Linked DNA regions of Drosophila melanogaster. The protein of the gene in region 1 interacts with the protein of each later gene in a biochemical or structural test. Each region holds a gene or a part of one and is shown on either strand. Other genes may lie near its edges.

Region 1 (12,770 bases):
AGTTCTGCACCGACTTGATGTTGAATTCGCGTTTAAGCATCTCACAAACGCGATTTATCCGCAATATATGCATTTTACACTGCGCCTACAGCATTTTTCCTTTCCACACGAAATCTTAATACGCTTTTATTTTTCCGTTTTCTTTGATTGCTGCTTCGTAAACAGTGTGGCAGCAGGGTGGAAAAATACTGCCAACGAGGTGGGAGCGCTTCGAGTATATACCAGAAATACACAACATATGGAAATAACGGCCTATTGGCTACAGTGAATACAAGATACATTTACATTTTTTTATTTGTGTATTTCGCTATTTGTAAAAAAAGCGAGAATTTAATTGAGAAAACGAGTATCTTTTATTTCTGAAATAAGCACTATGCTGTTTCAACAATATCTCTGTTAATTCCAGACTATCTGGCTGATAAATGTTTCCCAGTCACGATCGATAGTGTGGGGATGGATTGAAGTTAATGACAAGTTTTATTTATTTTGTACGAAGTCACACCTAGCTCTTATCTTATGTACTCCCACCTAAGCCTTGGGCACCACTGAACTGCTATTGGGGGACACCAGCTCATCGCCGCCTCCGTTGTTGCCCACATCCGCCAGCGGATCCGCGTTCTGGCCACCAACTGAACCGGCATCCGTGTCCAAGGCCTCGCTCAAGCCATCATCGTCGTCGTCATCACCGCCAGATTTGTTGTACACGGTGGGGTACTTCTGGAAACAGTCGCGCATCTTGGTGAAGGCATCGTAGCAGTCCGATCCCTTGGGATCGGCGGTGCTGTTCTGGAAGCAGGAAAATGCCTCACGGAAATCGACGCCACAGGGACCGGTGGCCATGCCGCCGAGGCAGGGACAACTCCAGTTGATCTTGCCGTCCTTGGTGATCACGCCCTCCGGCTTTTCCGGCGGCGGCAGCTCGATGGTGCTGGGCGTGGCATGGTCCTCCTTGGTCACAAAAATCACCTTGTCCTTGCCGTACTCCTTGCAGTAAGAGAATGACATCCTGATGCGGTAATGCTAGTTAAATGCTACAAACTCCTCGGGGGATTCCTCAAAATCCAAGGGCTTTCGGGATGTGCTGAGCACCTGAAAATGGCAGGGCACCTCCTGGTAGTATCCTATTAGGGCTATAGCTACGCGAACGCGATCCAGGACGTTCTCGGGCACCCGGAGAATGGAGCGTTTTTGGCTGGAACTAAATTTCACAATTTCCAGTATGGTCTGGCCACCTATTTCGCCAAAAATACTAGCCAAGGAGCTATGGATGCAGCCACAGAAGAATACGGGCGTCAGAGTCACGGAGTCTGGATCACGGAGTTTTCTGGCGATTAAAAACGTGAATTATCTTAATTATATTTGCATGATGCACGTGCGCACGTGGGAAATACGGGGCTTTAAGGAGCGGGGCTGAGTGCCCGGAACTCACATCTTCACGTCCAGATATTGGTAACCACTCATGCTTTGGGTGCAAGTGCCAGTGCCCCTCTTTTTTTGGCGGAATCTTCGGGAAAAGTCGTCCAAAAGTTGCCGGTCAGTGTGTTTTTTTTATGTAATTACTCCCCTTTTTTGCTGTTTCTTTCTGCTTCTCAAACAGCTGTGCGCCGCCAGAGATGCCAGCTCGGCTCACAACGGACATGAGTAGTTATAAAATAGCTAAAATTATAGCCATTTATTAAAACATTTAAATTGTTATTGGAACTACTTAAATGCAATTTTATTAAAATGGTTACAAGTTTATGGGGTTTTTCCGCTTTTTAATCTCATTTAGTAGCCATCACAGAAATCATTTCAGTTCGTTGTGAATGACAAAAAAATCAGATCACAGTAAAATCAGTTAGGATTCAAATTCAAATTCTTCATGACGGTTATAATGTATATTACACTGAGTATTACAATTCGCTAGTCCTAATCATCGGACACAACCGCGACAGTCTTTTCAATGCTCTTCTCAAAGTCCAGCGATGATTTGGATGTTTCCAAGATCTCAAAATGACAGGGTATCTGCTGGTAGTGACCGATGAGCTCAATGGATATGCGGGTCATGTCGTGCAGTTGCTCTGGCACTCGAAAGATAACACGATGTTGCTGGGCGCAGAACTTCACGATCTCCAGTGTGGGTTTCTCCTCGCAGAAGAAACTGTCCAGGGCGTCAAGAACGCAGCTTCGAAACAGAGATGGGGTCAAAGCAACTGCAGTCGGATCCCGAAGTTTACTATTAAATAAATGAATATATTTACTGAATTTAATAACAACCAAGTTTATATTAATGACCGCAGAACATCATTCTACTCACAGTTTGATGTCGAAATAGTAATAGTTCGCCATGGTGATCTTGCGCGTTCCTTTTAAGCGGGATCCTCTGTAGTGATAGAGTTTTGTGCGTTCGGGGCGATTGGCAAACTGATTTTGCAGTGAATTGCGCGCCGCGCAGTCTTTGTCGAAATTCTCTCACGCAAGACGTGCAATTTAAATAACGAAACTCGAAACAACAAATAGTCAAATTTAACTTCGAAACTGTCAAATGGAGAAGCTAACGAATGTTCAGGCACAGCAGGAAGAGGAGGAGGAAGAAGGTCCACTCAGCGTGACTAAGTTAATAGTGAGTAGGCTGCGATCTCGACCAGGATTATTATGGGCATTCCCTACGATATCCTCCTCCTAGGGCGGCAGCATCACGGCCAAGGACATCAAGCTGCTCCAGCAGGCCAGTCTGCACACCGTGGAGTCGGTGGCCAATGCCACCAAGAAGCAACTGATGGCCATTCCCGGCTTGGGCGGCGGCAAGGTGGAGCAGATCATCACGGAGGCTAACAAACTGGTGCCTCTGGGCTTCCTTAGTGCTCGCACCTTCTATCAAATGCGTGCCGATGTCGTGCAGCTGAGCACGGGCTCCAAGGAGCTGGATAAACTGCTGGGCGGCGGCATTGAGACGGGATCCATTACCGAGATCTTTGGCGAGTTCCGCTGCGGAAAGACCCAATTGTGCCACACTCTGGCAGTAACCTGCCAGCTGCCCATCAGCCAGAAGGGCGGCGAGGGCAAGTGCATGTACATCGACACGGAGAACACCTTCCGTCCGGAGCGTTTGGCTGCCATCGCGCAAAGGTACAAACTGAATGAATCCGAGGTGCTGGACAATGTGGCCTTCACCCGTGCCCACAACTCAGATCAGCAGACCAAGCTCATCCAGATGGCGGCGGGCATGCTCTTTGAGTCCAGATACGCTTTGCTGATTGTGGACAGTGCCATGGCGCTCTACAGATCCGATTATATTGGTCGCGGGGAGCTGGCCGCCAGGCAAAACCATTTGGGCTTATTTCTGCGCATGCTTCAACGCCTGGCCGATGAGTTCGGAGTGGCTGTGGTAATTACTAACCAGGTTACTGCCTCGCTGGACGGCGCACCCGGCATGTTTGATGCCAAGAAGCCCATTGGCGGGCACATCATGGCCCACTCCTCAACCACGCGGCTGTATCTGCGCAAGGGTAAAGGCGAAACCCGCATCTGCAAGATCTACGACTCGCCCTGTTTGCCGGAATCGGAGGCCATGTTCGCCATTCTGCCGGATGGAATAGGAGACGCCAGGGAGAGCTAATTGTGCTCACTTATAGGTTAATTAATGCTAGGAATAGAGCTCCCTAACTTTCTAATGATTACTTATCCCTAGACTAAGAATTAAACTTCGTAGATTGTTTTTTTTTTTGTTTTAATGTTTACTTAGAATGTTTAGGATAACGACGAAATAAAACAGCCGTTGCGAATTGTATGTACCATCTATATTTAATTCAATATTATTCAAATCATCTACAAACTTAGAAAATATTTAGGGGTTTCGAAGCAAAAACCTTTTTTTTAGTCTGGTAATAAGCGGATGCAGCAGGAAAAGCCCCATCAGCGCAGCGTAACACGACATGCACCTGGCAGGCAAACAGAATTAAGGAATTTAGCTGAATTTTTAACCTAGAATTAAGCATAGCCCACTTGGCTCATCAAAACTTTGTCATCCAAAGCACGGTCTTTAAGTTGCCTGGTTTGTAACGCTTACGAGTAACTGCAAGAAAGAGGATTCTTGAAGATGTGTTTCAACTCAGCGGTTTGCGGTTTCCCATCCTACCTTATCATGTAATTGGTCCAGCAGAACTGGTCCTCGATCATTTACTGTGGAGCCGATCCGGCTGAAGCGGCGGCCTCCTTGGCCAAAACCAGGCTATTATATCCGCGCTCGTTCATCCCGACGCGAAGGTTTTCGTTGATATTTTTCGTATAGGTCTTGTAGATTTTTACCTTTTCGCAGAAGTCGATCCAAAAGTTGTCCTCGCTCTCGGGCTCCGGATTGAAGAGACTCTTGAAGCCATCGTATATGCCAGAGGAGACCTTGCGTATGGTCTGCGCCCTCTCCTTGAACTCCACCTCGTCGGACAGGTCCATTTTCCAGAGCTCCAGATTGCCCACATACCGGCGAAGTCGGCGCATTATGTCCACGCACTCCGGATTGCGCAGCAGCATCAACTTGGTGAACTCCACCTCCTTGAACTGCTCGAGGATCTCCAGGCATTTGCCCACATTGGCGCGCCGCAGGCCCAAACATTCGCGCAGCTGCTGGGAAAGTTGGATGAAGTCTCGCTCCATGAAGAGGGCATCCTCGTGCTCAATGAGCTCCTCGATGAATCGCAAAGCCTCCTGCTTGGGTATTTCGCTGCGTGTTGGCTCCACCACGATCCTATCGGGCATGGACTCCGGATTGATTTGGCCGCTCTCTAGTTTCAGTTTGAGCTCCAAGGCTTCTTTGCGGGCGTTCTCCATCCAGGCTTCCTCGGCAGCGGCGCTTTCGAAACTCTCCGGCTTTTTGTAGTTTATAACGATTCCCAAACACTTGGCTGTGGGCATGTACACCATGAGCATCTCGTTCCGGATGTTCTGTTTGGGCAAAAATGGAAATCAATGTATCGTAATTCATACTAGTTTATGTCTGGTGGTATTTCTGCATCGCACTTACATTGACTGGCCGCGACCGCTTCTGAATCGGAGTTACTGCAGCCGTGGGCTTGGATTTCTTCACTGATTTCTTGCTGGAGGTGGGGGTCGCCGCAGCCGGAGCAGCGGGGATGGCTGCGGCGGTAGCCAGACCCTCGGTGGGAACCCTTCGCTTGGCCGGCGGAGGTGCTAGTTCCGCGCCTGCTTCACTATCCCCGTCCACATGGCGCGGTGGTGCCTTGGTCTTCCGGGTGCCGCTCTTCTTGGGCTTCTCGGCCGCTGCTGCGACTGGTGCAGCAGTGGCTGGCTCCGGTCCCGGCTCCGGCTTGGGCTCCTCCGTCTTGACGCCATCACCAGTTGTGGGCGGAGCAACTGGCTCCGCGCCGTCGAGCAAATCAATGGGCGCCGAGTCCTCGCCGCGCAAGGCGCTCTCGATCTGATCGATGGCCTCGATGAACTTGGCCCGCTTCATGATCTTCTCGGTGGCGAAGCGCTCCTTGTTGCTGGCGTACGGGAACAGATCCTCCAACTTGATGTTGGCCGTTTCGCCCGTGCCGTAGAAGTAAACATTGTACTTCTTGTTGTTGTTGCTCTTGGTGATTTTGGCCGGCCAGGGCGGATAGCCCTTCACCTTGGCGAACACCAGGTCGCCAATGCTGTAGGAGGCGGCCGCCTTTTCCTTACCCATTTCGTTTGACTTCTAGCTCGTTTGGTTCGCGTGCAATACCAATATCTTTTGCCGTATTTCTGCGGCGTCTGCTTTTCTTCTTTTCGTCTCGCGCTTTCTTAGATATGGCACTTGGCTCCGATAACAGCGATGTCGATCGACAGTGTGGCCAGCTCAAGAGCCAGCCAGCGCTAGCAGTGCTCGTATGTGCGTTGGTCGTTTGCGGTAACGACGAAACTGTAGCTTGGCGGGCTTTTAGCTTTCGAATTTAAAAATGATGGAGCTCAATAAAATATAAGAGTTTTTCGTTAAATGTTTATATGTTTCTTATTACATAGTGAAACACACTGCTTACTATTCTGCATACCTTTTCAAGTTGGTATCCCAATCTTCTTTAGCTTATAGTTATAAGTAACTTTGAATGTTTTTAAGCCTAAAATTGTCGGCATATTTAGCAGGCATTGCTCATTTCATTGGCCAATTACGAGTTCAAAATCGCTGGCACAGCTCCCACAGGTGGAAGTTCGTTGGCAGGCGATGCCGGATTCCCACCTCGTCGCACCCACACAAAACACCTTTGGCGCACGCACCTCGTCGCGCGAATTCACCACATCAACTCGAACTGAAAACATTTTTCGAAGGCATTCCTATTCGTCGGCCAGTCGTCGTTGGTTGGCCAAAAAGAACAGTGTTGTCTCTCCCACGAGTTCCCAAAAGAACTTCAGTTTGTTTACCGAATCGAATCGAATCGAATTGAATCGTTGGAGAGCGAGCAAGGCGGAAAATAATTTTTAATTTTGGCCTGGAATCCGCGGAATTCGTTTATTGTTTAGCGCAAATTCCCGACTAAGTGGCCAGCGCGAATTTGTGAGCCCATAAACATGCAGGAGTTAATAGTCGGCGGCATCGCCATCAGTGGCGTTCCCTTCGCCAATGAGACGGTCGAGAAGGAAAGTCGCCAGAAGTGAGTAAATGCACGCACATTTTGCAGTTTGCTGCCAAGTACAAACATTTGTGGTCGACATTTGAGCCCGTTTTGTTAGCCACAAACACTAAGCACTAGATTTGCTCAAGGTCGCCATGATGTCACCTCGACAAACCTTTGTGGCTGCCTACTACCTAATTTGCTCGCTATATAAATAATCACACCTGAATCGAACAGCTAGTCGTGTTTACCTGGCGGAATAAAGCAAATAGAGTGTTAAAACAAAATCATAACAATGCCTTAGAATTATTACCTATTATATTTTATATTGAAAATCAGCTTTGAAATATCCATTGAAATACAATTCCCCCCTTTTTACGGAAGCACAAACTCCATAAATTTGGCCATAAAGCAGCATATGCAATACATTTGGCCACATGCGTTTTTCAAATCCGATTCGTTTTCGAGCAAAATTCCATTCTGAATTCCGATGTACTTACATGCGAGCATATTTCCCGCTTTTCGCCAGTGTCCCAAATTTGAATTGAAGACGGAAATCGATTCGGAACTGAATGCCTTTCATTGAATTGCACAATGTATTCGAATATTACAAATTATTCTTGAGTTTTCGGCGCATTCTTTATCGGTGGCCCTGACTCTGACAATTGAATTCAAGGACGGCATAATTGCCAAAATGAAATTAGTCATTTATCATTGAGGGGCAGACGGAGGTCTGTCTGCAGGTCTGTCAAAGTTTTGGCAGTCGAAAAATGCGGATTTTGAGGCCCCGAGGTGGATATTCATACATAGCTGGGATGTAAGGCATCTTGTGGGTTGGAACCCCATGCAGTTCTCTAGATAAACTGGGGAATGACTAGATGGATAGGCTCAGAAGATAAGCGAATACCGTCCATCCCGCCCATTAACCTAGATTCCCTAGAAAACAAAAAAAAAACAATCATGTGATGGACAATGGAGACAAGGATTTCGGATTCCAACGCTCGCTGGCGAATTCATAAATAATGGACTTGGAATTCGAAAACAGCTCAATTTGTTCTTGCCTTTATTTTTGCATTCGGCGATAAAGTGAATAACGAACGGAACATCGGGGGCGGTGTGAAATATTTTAATTTCACTTATTTTCAAATCAAGAAATTTTCTGCCGATGCCACTGCCTCTTTGGTCTAGTGAAAGTGACCGATGATTAATTTTGGCGCCGTGCCAGTGGAATTTGTGATTATTATTTAATGACGACGCCGAGTCGCCGTAAACATATAATAAAACCGAAAAGAACAAGCCATTTTGAAACAACACACAAAATGGCAATACTCTCGTTCGAATAAAGTAGTTTCGAGATGTTATTTTGGAAGAAATGTAACCTCCCAGGTGTTCAGAAGTATGCAATATAATATTTTCAGCTCGAAACTCAGCTGAAAAAAACTTCAATAACTTGAGTGTTTTGAAATCTCTGCGAATTTCTTTGGTTTCTAGCGAAGAGTGTAGACTTATTCGTTTTGAAATCAGCCGAGTGCTTAATTTTACATTCCTCAGTGGCAGGAGCTTTTGGAGGGCGATGACAGCAGGAAAGGCGGCAGGGATTGGCACCTTCTATTTGATCTCTATTTGATTGGATGACTGGGGGTGCCAAGGGATGAGAAGATGGAGCGGGCAAAGGGAAACCAGATGGCAGACCTCTGTTTCCATTATAAGGTTGGAAGTCAGGAAATGATATAATATGAAAATATGACTAATCCCAATGCTGCCTTCGCTGATCCCTTACTACATTATATATATCGAAGGTAACTGACCTCTTGGATTTTCCCAGCCAAACGGATTTGGATCCAAAAGATCGGAGGTGCAGTGGTTAATATCCCATTATGCGATGACTGATCTGTTTGTTTACGCATTCGCCAAATACCATTTTAGAACTGCGCTATTTTCACATCGCCTCCATTTATTATACACTCCGCGAAACTAATTATAAACAAGCATTTCTGAGGTGTACAGATACAAATTTGGATATAGTATATACATATATGTGTATATACTATATGTAGGTATTTTGGCAATATGTTTATTGTTTGTGCCTACGCAACGAACTCATAGAACCATGACGTCGACCCATAAATACGTAGGCGATGGGATGGGATGGGATCGAATGGGATTGGATTGGATGGGCTGGGATGGGTTGTTTTTCCATTCACAAAAACACACACGAATACCTGCCATTTGTTTATGGCCCATTTGTTTTTGGCTTAGCACCAGTTGTGCTCCTTTGTTCGCCCGCGAAATGTTCTTATTTTATCGGGTTTTTCACCCACTTTGAAGTGCACCAGGTTGTCCAGCCAAATATTTGCGCATTTATGCCATTTGGCAGAGCCCCCCAGAACTTTGTAGCTATGTAAATTTAACGCATTGCATAAGCTTTCTTTTGTTCGGAAAAAGAATGAGAACTCACCAGTATTCCCTCTTTGATTCCTTGCAGTCAGCTGAGTGCATCCACGCTAGAGGATCACACGCCGTTTCCCGGTCTGTCCCGCATCACTCCATCGCTGATCCTTTGCGGTGCCGCGGCGGTGGTGCCCGCCTACATGGACAAACTGGGCGTGAGCTGCGTCATCAACGTGGCGCCCGAGCTGCCGGACACACCACTGCCCAGCCAGAAGAACCCGCTCTATCTCCGCATCATGGCCCAGGATCGCTCCGAGGTGGACTTGGCCAAGCATTTTGACGAGGCGGCCGATCTGATCGAGGAGGTGCATCTCTCCGGCGGCTGCACGTTGATCCACTGCGTGGCCGGCGTCAGCCGCTCGGCCAGCCTGTGCCTGGCCTATCTAATGAAGCACGCCGGGATGAGCTTGCGCGAGGCCTACAAGCATGTGCAGGCCATACGTCCGCAGGTTCGCCCGAACTCCGGATTCTTCCAGCAGCTGCGACGGTACGAGCAACAGCTGCGGGGCAGCAGCTCGGTGGCCATGGTGTACTTCGCCTCGCTGGACAAGGAGATCCCCGACATACTGGAGCCCGAGTACAGGGCCATGGAGGACTTCTACCAGCGCTACCGCAGCTCCCTCAAGAGGCGATAGGCCCGTTGTGCCGCAATTAATCTTACTTGTGATACTCGTACCCTACCACTAGCCTTAGATTAGATGTTTAAGTTGTGTGTGCTTAATGATAATGAAATGAAATGCTGAAACTTACATAAGATGTACGCTTAAGCCTCGTTCGTAATTACAAATACACTTTTATTTTCGTTTAAGAACATTGAATCTACCGCGTTAATTAATCAGTTGTAGTATCTTCAATCAATCACAAAGTTATTGGCGAACACAAACAACACACTCGTATTATATCGCACATCATCTAGTATTATTTACACGTACACGAAAAGTAGCTAACTAAACCGTAACTCGAAGATTGGGTACCTTTAAATGCTCACGTTGTATTGTACTTGGCATCCGCGAGGCGAATTGAATAGATCTACAGGTATACAGATATACAGATATGAGTAGGAGGAGCAGGCGACCTCCGCTTGGGATGCGTGTATGTACATTAACACCTAGAATTCAGCATCTGTGCACAAGCGACTTAGGCGAGACTTAAATCGAACGAAATAATTGGCTAGCTAAAGGCAGAAGTAACCGTTTGTGTACAATCAGCTAAGTTAACTCTAGTTCTACTCAGAGGCCAGTGGCAACGGCGGCTGCTGCTGCATTAGTTTCTTTAGGTTTTCGTACGCCGTATTCATGATGCCCCAGCTGATGAAGGAGCGGCCTGTGTTGAAGGGGCATCCGCGATAGAAGTTGCCAATGCGGCGATCGCGCTCTACGTAAATTCGCTTGCACGCCTGCCAGCTGCCCTCAGACCTCTGGCCCATCTCACTCTGCAGCGACACCTTGATCACATTGAGCGGGTAGAATATTGTGCTTATGCTCGCACCGATCACGGCGCCCGCTATGAACTCCTGCACTGTTCGAGTGGATACGGATTTCTGTGGATGGGCAACGGATTGGTTAGTATCTTAGTAGGTTCGTATGTGTGATAGGGTCAACACTCACTCTCTTAGGCAGCCGGACGCTGGCCTCTTCTCGCAGTACGAAAAATAACGCGTTGGACAGGCCGTTGCGCCAAAATACTGGTTCGAGTCCCCTGTAGAGCTCCCGGTAGCCGTGGTGGGAAACCACATACCTGTGGAATGATTAAAAGCCATAAGAAGATCCCATTAGCAAACTTAAAGATCCGTCAGCTCACCTGAATGCGTTTTGTGTGTTGGAGAAGTGCTGGTGGAACTTGGAGTCCGCGAGGAGGGTTTGCACCCGTTCGAAGGGCAGGAGGATGGACTCGGCGCTGCCGGCCACCACGGCCGCTAGCACCTTGGCCCCGTAGTCGTTCAGGCGGTAGTCCTCCACGAGGTACCTCCTCGTCCCGTCGAACACACCGAACATGATGGACAGGGATATGGTCTTCTGGGCGAGCGGCGGCAGCATGCCGCGGTACAGGAAGCCCAGTCCCTCGTGACGCAGCTGTGCAAAGGCCGAGGTGATGGGCACGCCGTGCAGCATCTGACGGAAGATCATCTTGTAGATGGGATAGGTGACCGCGATGTTGACGAAGGCTGCTCCGCAGCCGCAGGCGAACTCCTCCCACTGAAAGGAGCCGAAGAAGCGCTTCGAGAAGACGCTGCCATGCAGCAGTTTCCCCGCCTCCCCGTCTCCATGTGGGCTGTGTGCTCTTCCGGATGGAAACCTTTTAGGGGGCGGTGGGTCGGTGGTTTTCGCGACGTTTGGTGCTCCATCGTCTTTCATCTTGCTGCTGTCCTGTGTTTATTTCGGGCGTGTGGAGAAGTGCGCATTTGTCACCGCGTTACCATTGTAACTATTCAAACACGGGGATTGCGCTGGTTTGGTTTGTTTTGGTTTCGATTCGCATCGGTTTTAATTATATAATAATGAAGAAGAACCACGGTTTGACGGCCACGGCCAGTGTGACCGTCGCTGGACCTCTGCTGCATACCAAAGGACTCTGTTATCCAAATTGTTCACAAGCCAACCAAAATTAATTGTCGAACTTAAATTAGCAGCGGCGGCTTTGAGTTTTGTACTCGCCCTTTTCGGTAATTTACAAACTTAATATAACACCGTATAATTAAAATATTCTTAGCAGTGCGTTTAACAGCACTGTCACTTTATTTTGACCGAATCACCCTGTGTACTTGTTCCACTGACGCAAAGACCACCCTATGGATCAGAAACTTATCATGTGCTGGTATGCATTGGGTGCTCTAAATCCACGACTTGGATGCTTTTGTATTAGCCTCCTAAACCTCGGGAACACCTGCTCCTTGATCGCTTCTGTCAGCTTTTTACTTTTTCATTCCCAGCTTTCTTATCGTTTTTTATCAGATGACGGTGCTGCAAAACATCTATTGAACAGCTGTTGCATCCAGTGTGTAAATGAAATATGTTCACACTGCACAGTGGGTCAAGAGGCAAAGCATATTTAATTATATAACAAACTCCACCAAGCTGAAAATAGTTCCATATTTTGTTGCACATAGTTGCAATCGTCGCAGTTGCTCGGATAGTGATTAAACCTGCAACACCTTATTTGACGCGCCCAAGTTTAAATTCATTACACGATGATCCGCAATATATCGCTTGGCATCGCCATGAACGAAACTATCGGCGAATCATCGACGCACGACGTATCGATGTTTTTTCACACCACCAGCTTTTTCTTTTCGCTTCTGGTTTCCGGCAAGGTATGTGCGTGATTTTGGGCCCACGTGTATTTCCATTAATTTTAAGCCGTAATTGTCGTTTTTGGCGGTTTCGAGTTGAACTGCGTTAGTCCGTGCGCTGTTCGCAAGTGTGCGGCTCGTATTTCGACCGAATTCGGATCGATTCCTGTGAGAGTTCGCCAAATGGCTTCTGTTTGTGATGGGAATTCGTGGGGCGACACACCGGAAACTCAATGGATACTGCCCAAGAAGCTAGCCCAACCTGGTTGAATTATGCATTAGTGGGACACCTTGTGTGTTATTAGCTTGATAAGTGATATTTCCAGTGGGTCAGTGCACTAATGGCTACTTTTGTTGTGTCCTTCCAGCTTCAAGATGACCATCCGCCCAGCATACAGGCCCAAGATCGTGAAGAAGCGCACCAAGCACTTCATCCGCCACCAGTCGGATCGATATGCTAA
Region 2 (12,770 bases), on another chromosome or scaffold:
TACGTCGGGATTGAGTTCCTGGAGAAGTTGCATGCAAGCCAATGCTTTAGATTTGCCCAGATAGCTGGAATCGAGGAAGAAACTACGGAAAAAGTGACTTTATAATGGTGGTCAGGGAATGTGTGATGGTCTACCGACTTGTTGCCCAGATCCTCCTCCTTGACGGTGCTGCCATCGGCCACAGTGAAGCCTCCGATACCGGGTAGCACCAGTCCCTTGGCAGTTTCACAGCCGACGGCCGTAACATTCACCAAACATACTGTGGCTGCCTCCAATAGCGTCTGTCCATGCTCTCCCCACAGCCTAAATAGGTGTCATCAGTGCTATGCTTCCGAATTTATCAATTAAAACGCTCCTCACCTGATTTGTCTGTCGTATTTCTTGCTTTTATCCGAAAGCTCTGGCGATTTGGGGGCTGGCGAGGACATTTCACTAGATTTTTGTGCAATAATAAGCCGGTTGCAAATAATCCAGTACTGTAAAGCGCCGGCAGCCAATACTTCTGACACAATTTGTTTATTGGGTGGAGTGTTGGAAAAAACACGTTGGTAATTTTAACTGTTGCTTATTTAAAACATTTATTGACTATTACGTATTACATTTCATTTAATTTTATTGCATTAAACTACATCTACGTACAAGCAATCAGTCTTTACAAATAAAATGTATAAACAGTTGAGAAATTAAAAAGTGAAAGTCTGAGCAAACCAAATAAAGTGTCTGGTTGACAGTTTTTGAATAGCATTCCATGGCTATGGTTTTGGGTGAGTTTTAATATTGATTTTCAACATGCAATTAATTTAATTAAATAATACCGCTAACTGTTTGTTGGCTGGGCAGTGTAGGCAGCGCATTTTGCAACACTGGGAGGGCTAATGAACAGCTGTTTTATCGTGTAATTTCACAACAAAACAACGCATACATCGCTGTGTTTTCTTCTGCATTTCCGTCCGATTGCGATCCAATTTGAACTAAATAAATATCAGTATTATCACGGAGATAATGCCGGCCAAAAAGAGAACTGCCGCGTCGACCAGCAAAAATAGCGATTCGCCATTAAGTCCGCACACAGACGATCCAGCGTACAAAGAAAAAAGAAAGAAAAACAATGAGGTAAGTTTAAGAGTTTTGGATGTAAACAGAGAGCAAAGATTGGGAAACATGTTGCTGTGGCGCCGTGGCCCCCAGAAGTCCCCAAAAATAGATGCCCACTATTGATTTATTACTATTCTCGGAACAGGCTGTTCAGCGCACACGCGAAAAGACCAAGAAATCGGCCGAGGAACGTAAGAAACGCATCGATGATTTGAGGAAGCAAAACGATGCTCTTAAGGTTCAGATCGAGACGAGTGAAAAACATATATCTACGCTTAGAGATCTGATCATTCAGGGTGAGAAAACGGAGGACGGCCATCGAATCATCCAGGAGATTCTCGCTGAACCAGATCCCGATCCCAAGGACAATGACTAACGAGGAGCTTCTCCTGATTTACCTTCTTATATTTTCATACTTTTAAGCCATTTCCCATGGTTGTTAACCATGTGTATCATCTTAGTTTTTCGATTAAAATGGTGCAATTGCTCGAATTCTATTACAAAGACAAGCACTCATGCAGACGAGAACAGTGTTTGTTAAAATCCTACATAAATGGTTTTCATTATTGGTGAGTTTTTATCATTTCTCACCAAATACTTGTTTTTGTTGTACTTTTCTTTTACTTTTGTTTATATTGTAACACTTAATCACTGTATCCATGTTGCACTGAATCTAAATTTTAAAATTATCTATATTTAGTAATAGTGATTTCTATTATTTTCGACATGATTCATACAGCTAAAATCATGCGAGTCTTGAATCAAATAAAGTGTCTATTATGATTTTACCCATATCAGTGTTATTTTATACCCAATACTTCAGCTGTTTACAACTACTACTACTATTATTATTTCCTTGAAAGTTGATGAACTCATTAATCAGAAATACAACCCAGATTCCATCATATACATATGTTCTACGTTTAAGTAGAACTTCCGGCAAATTAGATACTAACCGTCGTAAACGTCCAATTTCTCCATGTGTAGGCTAAAGACCTCGTCCATTTTCCGAGATATGAACATATGAACTAAAACTATAGCTATTGAGAAAGTGTCGTTGTGCCGATAGGTTTTTGGTTTCGGGTGTCCCGTTAGGTCTTGCTCTCTTTGCTTTTGTTGTGGGCGCTCCTTCCGTCTTCTTCTTTCAAACACTCACAAAAACATTGATTTACTGCACTTTTCGCACATTCATTTGATGCACAACTCGACGGCGATTTGATTTGGCGGGTGGTTGGTTTCGTGTCGAAATGGAAGTTGGATTGTGGGGCTTTTTTCGCGTTCAATAAATTGCCGTCTTCCGCTAATTAGCACCACCCGCACACTGATTCCGATTCAATATCAATTTGAAGTTGCTCACATGGCACGAGGCGAAATAAACTGAAATGTGTTTTCAGTTTTTACAGCGTTGCTTTGTTGTATTTGGCTGGTCGGCAGCTGAACGTGTATTTCCTTATTTTTTATTTATAATTTCACGTAACTTTATTTTGGTTGTTTTGGCCGCTCTCGCTCGCTCTTTTACTGCACGGCCTTGCTCTCGCTTTTTTCTCTCGCGCAGTGTTGCAAAGTTTTCAGCGAGGAACAGCTGATTCAGTATTTCGTTAAAAACCGTTAAAAAGCGTGGTTGTTTTGAAATTGTTGAAATTCTTGAAAATTTTTTTTTATCTTGTTTATGTTCTTATATTAAAATCCTGGTCAGACTTATATTTTAAATATTAAGTTAATCATATTGTCTATGAAATTTGCAAAAATTGGTATATAATTCCAAGCATTTGAAAAAACTTCACAGTGACACTTACATTCACCCCAAAAAAAGTAAAAAAAAAATAGTCAGGATTACAAAAGTTATATTTCCAGATAATGGTACAAAATTTTTTCGATTTATAATGCTGTTGCCATTAAAGAACCCAAAGACCGTTGAAAGCGAGGTGAACCCGAATGTGACGCTACTGAAGCGCCAGATCGCCGAGGATGGAACCAAAACACAGGCACTGTTACTTCAAGCGTTCCGCTTCGAGTTGCCTAGTGACGCCAATGCATCTCCACTCCTCCAGGATCAGTTCCAGCCACAGTCAGTCAGCAGGAGGCATTAAGCCCGCTTTGGCATCACTAGATCCACCTAAAACACCCAATAGCATCGAGAAAACAAAGAAATCCGGGGGATTTCTCTCTTTTTTGTTTGGCAAACGAGACAGGCGGGCGAGGAATCAGAGTGAGACAAATGGAAACCATATCTCATTGGAGGATCATGATGTCAGGAAGCTTATACGTCTCTATAGCAAGCATAATAGCCTTTACAACCGCCATAATCGCTACTATGGTAACAAAGATATCGACGATGACTGCTACAACAGAATGGTGCGCTCATTTCCGGGAAGAAGCGTCTCGGAACTGAGATCCTGTCTGGAGGAGCTAAGGACGCTCTTTGAGCGGGAATACACCATTATCGAACGTGCTCGAAGGAAGTGTGGAGAGATAATGAGTCCTTCAATTCGCTACTATAATGAATTTCTTTTCCTGGTGCCACATCTTAATATACACTTCGACAAGGATCTTCCTGCCAGTGGAACTAGCCCACTCGCCGCCGGAAAACTTTTGCAAAATCCGATAGCCAACCCAGAGATGTTGTGCCAAAAGTTGACCAATTTCACGGATTTTCCTCTGGCCGGTTTTCCCGGCAATCTACTAACCAAGAGGCCCAAAAAAGACCCCCAAGACCGGCCAAACAAGAAGATCAAACCAATTCCTGATCAAGAAAATGCGAAGCAAGAAAATCCCATAGAGCAGGAAATTCAGGAGGCAGAAAAAGTCGCTGATCATGAAGTTTCGGTAGAAGAGAAAATCAGCGGGTTGGAGGATCAGGAACAGAAAGACGCACTCTCTCCATCGGAGCAGAAGAACATACAAAACAGTAAGGATAAAACCAGTCATCATCATTCCAATTGCAAGATGTCCAGCCATGAGAAGGATTTAGTATCCACCAATTTGACCTGTCCCTGCAAGCCGGAAGTGGAATCCTCACAAAGCCCAGTTTCCTGCCCCTGGATAGCCGAAAATTCAAAGTGTGAACCCCCGTGTCGGGAAACACCACCACAATCTACGCGAAATTCCGTATCCAGTCCGCAAAATTCAGATATTTCTGAATCCAGCAAAGAACCGGCTCACTTGATGGAGAAGGAACCATCCGGTCAGGAATCCGCGAATAGCCAGCAAGTGCAGATGCTTTGCGATATGATACGTACCGAGCTAACCACTGCTCCCGATTTTATATTCTTCGATGCCAAGTGGCGGATCATCGAGATTCTGAGAGAGGTGCACAAGCGCCAATTGGTTCACCAGAAGGCCATTCCACTCAACAATACACGCCGACCGATTCCGCCGCAAAAACGAAAACCGGGTGAGCCCAATCAGATGCTTAAGAATCCAAAATGCATGTCGGATAGGAGTGCCCACGAAAAGGGACAACAGAGGATGTGCGAGCATCACAAGGGCAGCCATTGCACCTACTGCTGCCGGAACAACAACTGAAGTGGAAACCAAAACCCATCCACCAGCATCCATCGCTATCAGCAATAGCCGTGACCCACTTAACCAAGTGATAAGCCAATCCGAGCGCAAAAGCAAAGCCACTTTCTCTCCGTCGCAAAAGCAGTTACATCTTGAAGCACCATGGATGTGGACGAACTGATCAGCAGCTCCAAGCTACTCAAGCATTGGCCAAGTTTATTTATCACTCTGGCGCTGATATGGATCGTAAAAAGATTGTTTTTTAAAGGGAATCGCGTATTAAAAACATATAATTTAGATGAACAAGTCGAGGAGGAGGGTAAGTTTTAAGATTATCCACGGTGAACATAAAGCTATTCTATTCTATTTTCCAGTTGAACACTTTGCCGATCTTGGCGATGAACTGCAACCGGCTCTGGAGGATAAGCCCCATGTGCCCTTCGTTCCCGGCCAGAATCTCAACCCTAATGGAGCCAAACGCTTATATGAACTCATGCGTGGACGCCGTAGCATTCGCTCCTTTAATAGCCATCCCAAACCGGATCTCAGCGTGATAGAGGACTGCATTCGGGCGGCGGGAACAGCTCCCAGTGGCGCACACACAGAACCCTGGACGTACTGCGTCGTACAGGAGCCGGAACTCAAGCGATCCATTCGGGAAATTGTGGAACAGGAGGAGCTGGTCAACTACAGCCAGAGGATGCATCCGCAGTGGGTCACCGATCTGCGACCCCTGCAAACCAATCATGTCAAGGAGTATCTCACCGAGGCGCCGTACCTTATACTGATCTTCAAGCAGACCTATGGATTGTCGGAGAATGGAAAGCGAATGAGGAGGCATTACTACAACGAGATATCCACTTCGATTGCGGCCGGTATCCTTTTGTGTGCCCTTCAAGCGGCAGGACTCGCATCGCTGGTCACCACTCCTTTGAACTGCGGTCCAGCCTTGAGAAACCTGCTCGGGCGACCCGTCAATGAAAAATTACTCATCCTACTGCCCGTTGGTTATCCGAAAGATGGATGCACAGTTCCCGACTTGGCGAGAAAGAATTTGTCAAATATTATGGTTACTTTTTAAGGTTTATTTACGTCCGTGCAGCTTACGAAATAGTTCAATAAAACCAAACTAAAATTTATGGTAATTCTTATATTTTTTCTATTGATAAACGAAATTTTCACATTTTCCTTAAATTTATTCTTCATTATAATTGTTAATCAAAATATAATATTCTTAAATATTTGAAACGATAGTCTCCACCATCCCTGCCAACCGATATACGGCTGCTTTCCAGCACCACGCTTTTTGGCCTCTTGTCAACACTATCGATAACGATAGCTACGGTAAGTGACACAAAAGCAAAGGGAAAATTTCTACGTGCGGTTCGTGTGCTGTGTGTTGAAATTACAAATAGCCAATTATCCGGCATTAATCGTTTTAGGGCTCTCTCGATTTTAATTGTATTATATTGTACTATAATACAGATATAAACCCGATTTGATCGAGTGTAACGGAAATCGACGCGATTCCCATCAAGGTGGTCCGTACCTAATAAGTGTTCACGAATGAGAGCAAAGCAGATGGCGGAGAGCGTCCTGCGTTTCAATGTGTGTGTGCGTAAACGAGTAGAAAGCGGCGGTAAAAACCTTCTCGTGTAACACAAAACAAATTATACAAAACATTCAATCTCAATATCAAAACGTTACTGTATTGTCTATTGAAAAACAAGTACAAGCGTACGCAGGGAAATTGGAAAATCCATTGAAAATCGAGAGCAACAGTCGCCGGAGCGGAATCAGCGGACGAAAACAAAAACGCTTTAAAAACGCAGCCGATACAGAAAGTGCCAGCGTGTGAGTGTGCATATGTGTACGTAGTTGTGGGCAAAGAGAACGGTAAAGAATAAGAAATCGAAAAAAAAAAATAAAAAACTAACTGTGGAAGTGAAAAATGCGCGACTGATAAAGATTGTGATAATCACGGCATAATATAACAAGCAAAAAAGAAGAATGAAAAGAAACCGCAACCGAATTGGTTGAATAATATTTAAGCCAACGCCAGTGCTGCATAAATCGGTGCACATTATCATTGGAACGTTCAGTGTTGCACATCGCTACCGCCCCACGCATAATCCAACACTCTTCCCCCTCCCCATCCAGATCCACCCACTCACACACACACACACTCCGATTCGGATTTCTTCGTCTGCATTATAATATTGCGCTTATAATCTTTCGCGAGGTGAGTCGAACTCCCAAATAGTGTTCTATTCAGAAATGAGTTTCCCCATCCAATTGTCCGCTAACAGCGGGAAAATTACTCCCGCCTGCGTTGAAACTGTACCATATTGTGGATGAAGAAATGGGATAGAAATGGGCAATGGGCATTGGGAAGGTACGGTGAAGATTGCCTAAATAGAACACAATAAGAAACAGCTATGTTCAAAACATCTTGCGGAATAAATTTCAACAATTCAGTTATTATTTATTTAGTATTTAAAATGTGTGAACTGGAACATTTATATCGTACATGTTGTCTATGCATTGTTGAACATCCATGAATAGAAAAAACTAATTCAGTTTCTAATTAAAAATACTACAACAATAAAACAGTCTAGCTAGCCAAAATGACAACTTTATGTCAGTACTCATATAAGAATGTGTCAAAAAGTTTAATGATTGTCTACAAATTGTTAGCGATTTTCGAAAAAATGTCTTTACTTTGATTTCTGTTTTTCCAGCTCAACGATGCGCCACGATCAGTCCCTGGACCTTTTTATTTTTATTTGTTAATTCCTGGAATATCCATCGATTACGTGAGGAGCACGTAGAGCATTATTAAAGGCATAGGATCTTTTACGGAAGAATCTAGCCATGAGTCGCTTGCAAAAGCAAAACTACGAGATCTTAAGCGGTACAAGTACGTCGCGCCTCAAGAATCATCAACATCCCCGTGAATCGGAGTCACTAGCCTACGAGGAGCCAGATCAAATGGTGCGGAATCATCTAAATGGCCAGCTGGTAGCCAATGGCAATGGCAAAACGCGAAAGAATAGCAATTCCGAAACGATGACCAATGGGAAAAAGTCCAAACTGAATACGGAGGGATCCGGCTCTGGTTCTGGAAAGACCTTGAACTACAATAATAATAACAATAACAACAACAGCATCAGTGCCACCAACGGTCAGTACACCAATAGCAGCAGCAAGACCACTTCAGCATCTGCAAGGGATTACACTTACCGCGAGACCATATCACCGCCCACACCTCCATCCCCGCCCACCACAAATGTGGCGGATATTGTTTGCATATCGGATGCGGAGAGCGAGGACGGACGCGATCCCGAGCGGGAGTACTACGACCAGGACATGGAGGAGGATGAGCCGAACGGGATAGAGATCGATGAATCCAGCTCCAGCTTGTCCAAGGCCAAGTCCAACAATGCAGCTGCAGCGGCGGCGGCGGCGGCTGCAGCAGCGGCAGCAGCAGCCTCGAAGGCCTCCTCGTCGACCACGCCCTCCTACGCCATGCCCACCAGCAATAGTACACCCCTTGATCTGGACAATGAGGCCCATCAACGGGACCTGGAGGCGGTCACCGATCTGAAATACTACGGTGAGTCATTCCACTCAATGATAGTGATAAAGAAGACCGGGCCAACTGCAAGCACAAGCTAGATAAGAAAATTTGTTACAAGTTGCAGGTCAGGATGTACTTATGTTAAATATGATAGTTTAATAATTCCGTCCATATCAAATTAAACCGCAACTTCTTCCCTGTGAATATTTCATGCCATTTTAAGGCAGCTGCCACAGAGCTTATCAAACATGGTAGTGTGGTGGAATAATTGATAACTTTAACCGGGTGGATGTCTCAAGGTTTTATTGAAATGTCGGCAGAGGGTGGCTGGTCAATGCCAGATGAAGTGCCGTCTCTATCGTTCTTTGTTAAAGTGGAGCACATGCATTTAACCTTGACACGATTACCCAGAAAACTCAACCCGGCTTTGTTCGCTCTTTGGGCCAAATCCAAAACTACTGACCTCCCCTGAAATCGCCCAACCTCGCCGTACTCACCTCTCACCACACTCTACATACATATACACAAAGCAGACAGAATATCCACCACCCAAATGTCTAATTTGATAACCGTGGGTCGAAAACCTATTGTTGCTGCTTGTTATTTGTTAAATTTGACACTTTTCGGTTGCATTTTTAAATAAATATTATTTACTGAGGACATTGGTCTGGATTTTGGTGTGGAAAGTAACACCTTTTTGAAGTAAACGTTTTTGTCAAGAGGTTTTCACAACAGCTGTTTATAAATCGAATAAAATAAATCTAGATAAAAACTAAACCTTCTCTAGTTTCGATTAAAATTCAATTCATCAAAGTTTCTATCTATCTCGATAATTAAGATGTAGTATTATTTCTTAAATAGTTCTTATATCTGGCTTATATCTTTCATAATATCATATGGAACCACTGTGCCACTTTTCGTCATCGCCGTGCAGTCGTGACCATGTCAGTTGTTTGTACAAATGTGCGTGCAACGCTGTTTGCGAGCGTTTGCTGTACTCACAAACATGCTTGTTTGCATAAACGGTTGGTTGTTGTTTCTAGGCAATTTATTTACTTGAACTTGGCAATGCAACTTGCCAAGCATAGATACATATGTATGTATGTAGGTATGTACATAAAGATAGGGCAACGAGTTAGCCTCCTGGATAATTGCCTTCAAATTGATAGGTGAGCTGTGTTTGTTGTTTGCTGTTAATTATCACAAGAACATCGTCACGGCAACGGGTGCTGCTAGAATGGTGGGGGAGGGGAGGGGTGAGTTGTATCATTAACCCCACCCTTTTGTAAATTAACAATAATAATTACACAATGCACAGAGAAAAATACAGATTGGTTCTCAAGTAAAGTTAGCAAAATCTTTTAAAATATTATGTCCAATTGTTGTCTTATAACGAATTAATTAAAACTGCATTCAAATGTATTGTTACATTTCATTTTTATCTGTGTAGTTTTCACCCCTTTCACTTTTTAATCAGTAAAATCGATATCCTCGTACAGTACAGTACCGCTAGCACATTATAAACATTACTTTTAAGTGGGGTAAACATTTCTTATGCGACAATTTACACTTGACAATGAGAAGTAAAAATAGAAAATCGAAATTGTTGCTATCAGAACGTTCTCAACTTGTTGCGGTTTTCATATTATTATTCATATTCTTTCGGTCTGCGTTCATTAAACTTTGCCTAGTCATTTTTTTTTTGGTCTGTTATTCAGTTTAAGAACCTGGCCAGAGTATATAATGCATATCAAGGCCAATTTATTTGCTCGACGTCGTCGTCACACGCTTTCAAACAGGTCGTCTTAAAAATACAAAAGAAAATTCGCACTTGCTTTAAATAATGACTAAAATATTCAATTTCCATTTGATATCCGAAAAAATACAAAAAGTAGCAATATACAAGGGTTTTTCCGCGACAGGTCGCCACCACTTTGCAACATCTTTCCAGTTTTTCTTGTTGAATCAATAATTCCGGCGAAAAGTTGCCACCCACTCGAAAAAGTCCTGGGTTCGATGCACCCTTAAAGAATTTCGGCACGCGTCATTCCGTGCGTTTGGCTGCTTGTTTTTCGCAAATTACATATACAGTTTGTCAAGAAACTGTTTACACACTGTGAAATAAGTTGAATTTTTGACTTTAAAGCTAAAAATAAAGGGTTTTTTGCTTAATTAAACGCAATTTTTTTATAAAATATAATTAAACAATATTTATTTTACTTATAAATCAAAAAACAAATTAAAAATATTAAATATACAAGAAAATAAACAACAAATTCCAAGTTTACACACTTTTGAGACTGTCAAGAAACTCTTTACACATTTTGTTTTCCTACTTTGTTTTGTTCTTTTTCTTAGAACGAACTCGATTTTTCCGTTATTTTTGGCTTTGCATTGCTTTTTACAACGCTTCTATTGAAATTTTGTTGACTTTGCTTGTGAAATTTTGCTGATCAAACGTGCTTAAAGCGAATTATTAAATTTAATAAAATGCCTGGAAAGAGATTAACTTTTGAAGTTACCCAATTAATAAACTATAACCACCAGTTGGGAAAATCTTTTCCAGAATTAGTATAAATGTTTCCTGTATCCCGTAAGACCGTCTACAATGTTTTAAAAGGCTCGGAAAAAGAGGGCAGGCTTGAACCTAAGAGCGGTGGTGGGCGGAAAATTAAAATTAAAAAGCGTGTAGACCGCTTTATTATGCGAATAGTGATTGCGAACCCCCGAATCTCGGTCAGATCACTTGCTCTGGATATCAGGCAAGAATGCCACCTAACTGTGTCACACGAAACTGTGCGCCAAGTCATCCTACGCCATAGGTACTCTTCAAGATTTGCAAGGAAAAACCCTTTGCTATCAGATGCCAATATGGAAAAGCGTCATTAATTCGCTGTGAGCATGATGGATCATGCGGAAGAGTACTGGGATGACGTCATATTTTGTGACGAAACAAAAATGATGCTCTTTTATAACGACGGGCCAAGCAGAGTATGGCGCAAACCGTTGAGTGCGCTAGAAAAACAAAATATCATTCCAACGATAAAATTTGGAAAAATGTCACTGATGGTTTGGGGCTGTATCACCAGCCGTGGAGTGGGAAAACTAGCCTTAATTGAGAGCACAATAACTGCCGTGCAATATCTAGAAATGTTAAAAAACAAATTTGAAGGCCAGTGCAGAAAAATTCGGTCTAGTTAGCAACAACAAGCCAAATCTTAAGTTTTACCAGGACATGATCAGAAACATAAAGAGTGCAATGTACGCACCTGGCGCCTTAATAACTGTGGTAAAGTGATCGATACGCCCCCTCAGAGTCCTGATCTGAACCCCATTGAAAATTTGTGGACCTACTTAAAGAAGAAGGTGGCAAAAAGGGACCTAAAACACAACAACAGCTTATGACTGTAATAGTCGAAGAGTGTGAAAAGATCCCGTTTGAATATGACCTGCAAAAACTTGTCCAATCCATGAAAAAAAGGCTTCAACTTGTAGCTAAAGCCAATGGGGAACATACTACATACCAAAACTTTTAAAATTTTAATAAAATAATTAAAAAATTTAGGATTAAACTTCGATTTAGTGTTTTGTGTAAAGAGTTTCTTGACAGTCTCAAAAGTGTGTAAACTTGGAATTTGTTGTTTATTTTCTTGTATATTTAATATTTTTAATTTGTTTTTTGATTTATAAGTAAAATAAATATTGTTTAATTATATTTTATAAAAAAATTGCGTTTAATTAAGCAAAAAACCCTTTATTTTTAGCTTTAAAGTCAAAAATTCAACTTATTTCACAGTGTGTAAACAGTTTCTTGACAAACTGTATTTGCTGTTAGCAAGTTGTATTTGCAAAAAATAATACAACAGGTTCGGTCGAGCAGGCTCAACTCTCGATACCAACAACCCCTGCTGAAGTTTTGTGTCAATGTTTCTTGATTTCACAACAACGCTAAATTTTGACAGCTCCCGTTGCACGCGGGTTGAATTAAGATTGTAATAATAGTAGTACAAATGTTACAGACGCGCTCTGAATAAGGTCCTTCGGGGTTCAAGGACACATTCGCCAGCTGCTGTGGCTAGGAATATTTCGCAACAAACTTCACATTAATATTCGTCACATATTCAGACGTTTTGGAACGGGATGAATGGTGGTGGTCTTACGTCGGGTTGACTGACTCATTTGCCAAAATGCGGAGGTTGAGGATGATGTTTGCTTCAACGAATTGGTCATTTGGGAACGCTTTATTTAATGTCAAAGCTAATTGAATTACAGCGGTCACAGGCTTTTCGATTGAGCTGAATAATTGCGGTTATTAAATTGAATGGCAGATCAGGTGAATGCCTTCAAGGAGCAACCTTCTCTGAGGGTAAATTGGAAAGGCATCACTTTCAATCACGTCTGCACATTTTAATGGAAAAGTTTATAAAGTGAATTTAAACTAAAATTATGGGTTGCAAATGTTGTTATAATTATAACAGCCCAGTAATTCATATTGTTTTACTTATTAGATATTAAGAAGCTTCACTTTTAATGCCTGCAAATGCCTCAAACTTTGTCTGCTTCGTGCAATAATCGTAAACAGTGCAATCTT

The links.
Region 2: the proteins of Jasper (region 1) and JIL-1 form a complex in vitro, tested with the Drosophila melanogaster proteins (one study listed by BioGRID).

What each region holds. Positions count from the first base shown.
Region 1 is NT_033777.3:30,045,694-30,058,463, reverse strand, and holds Jasper (JIL-1 anchoring and stabilizing protein), read right to left. Parts: upstream 5,951-12,770; 5' UTR 5,666-5,950; coding exon 5,000-5,665; intron 4,921-4,999; coding exon 4,159-4,920; 3' UTR 4,118-4,158; intron 4,055-4,117; 3' UTR 3,767-4,054; downstream 1-3,766. Other genes in the region: CG7950 (uncharacterized protein), read right to left, coding at 529-1,005; Rpp14a (ribonuclease P/MRP subunit p14 a), read right to left, coding at 1,021-1,324, 1,430-1,461; Rpp14b (ribonuclease P/MRP subunit p14 b), read right to left, coding at 1,909-2,215, 2,297-2,328; spn-A (spindle A), read left to right, coding at 2,525-2,602, 2,666-3,598; CG15528 (uncharacterized protein), read left to right, coding at 6,526-6,608, 9,055-9,655; CG7943 (uncharacterized protein), read right to left, coding at 10,246-10,560, 10,628-10,757, 10,821-11,374; RpL32 (ribosomal protein L32), read left to right, coding at 12,543-12,574, 12,678-12,770.
Region 2 is NT_037436.4:11,086,343-11,099,112, reverse strand, and holds the start of JIL-1 (JIL-1 kinase), read left to right. Parts: upstream 1-5,919; 5' UTR 5,920-6,841; intron 6,842-7,256; exon of another isoform or gene 7,257-7,340; 5' UTR 7,341-7,473; coding exon 7,474-8,215; intron 8,216-12,770. Other genes in the region: APP-BP1 (beta-Amyloid precursor protein binding protein 1), read right to left, coding at 1-82, 139-303, 361-428; Irbp18 (inverted repeat binding protein 18 kDa), read left to right, coding at 1,003-1,113, 1,241-1,471; CG33947 (uncharacterized protein), read right to left, coding at 972-1,021, 2,052-2,100; CG46439 (uncharacterized protein), read left to right, coding at 3,064-4,620; Iyd (iodotyrosine deiodinase), read left to right, coding at 4,762-4,918, 4,974-5,680. UniProt on the Drosophila melanogaster protein: Phosphorylates 'Ser-10' of histone H3. May regulate gene expression by establishing or maintaining the structure of more open chromatin regions. Also required for normal polytene chromosome structure, for oogenesis and for viability throughout development.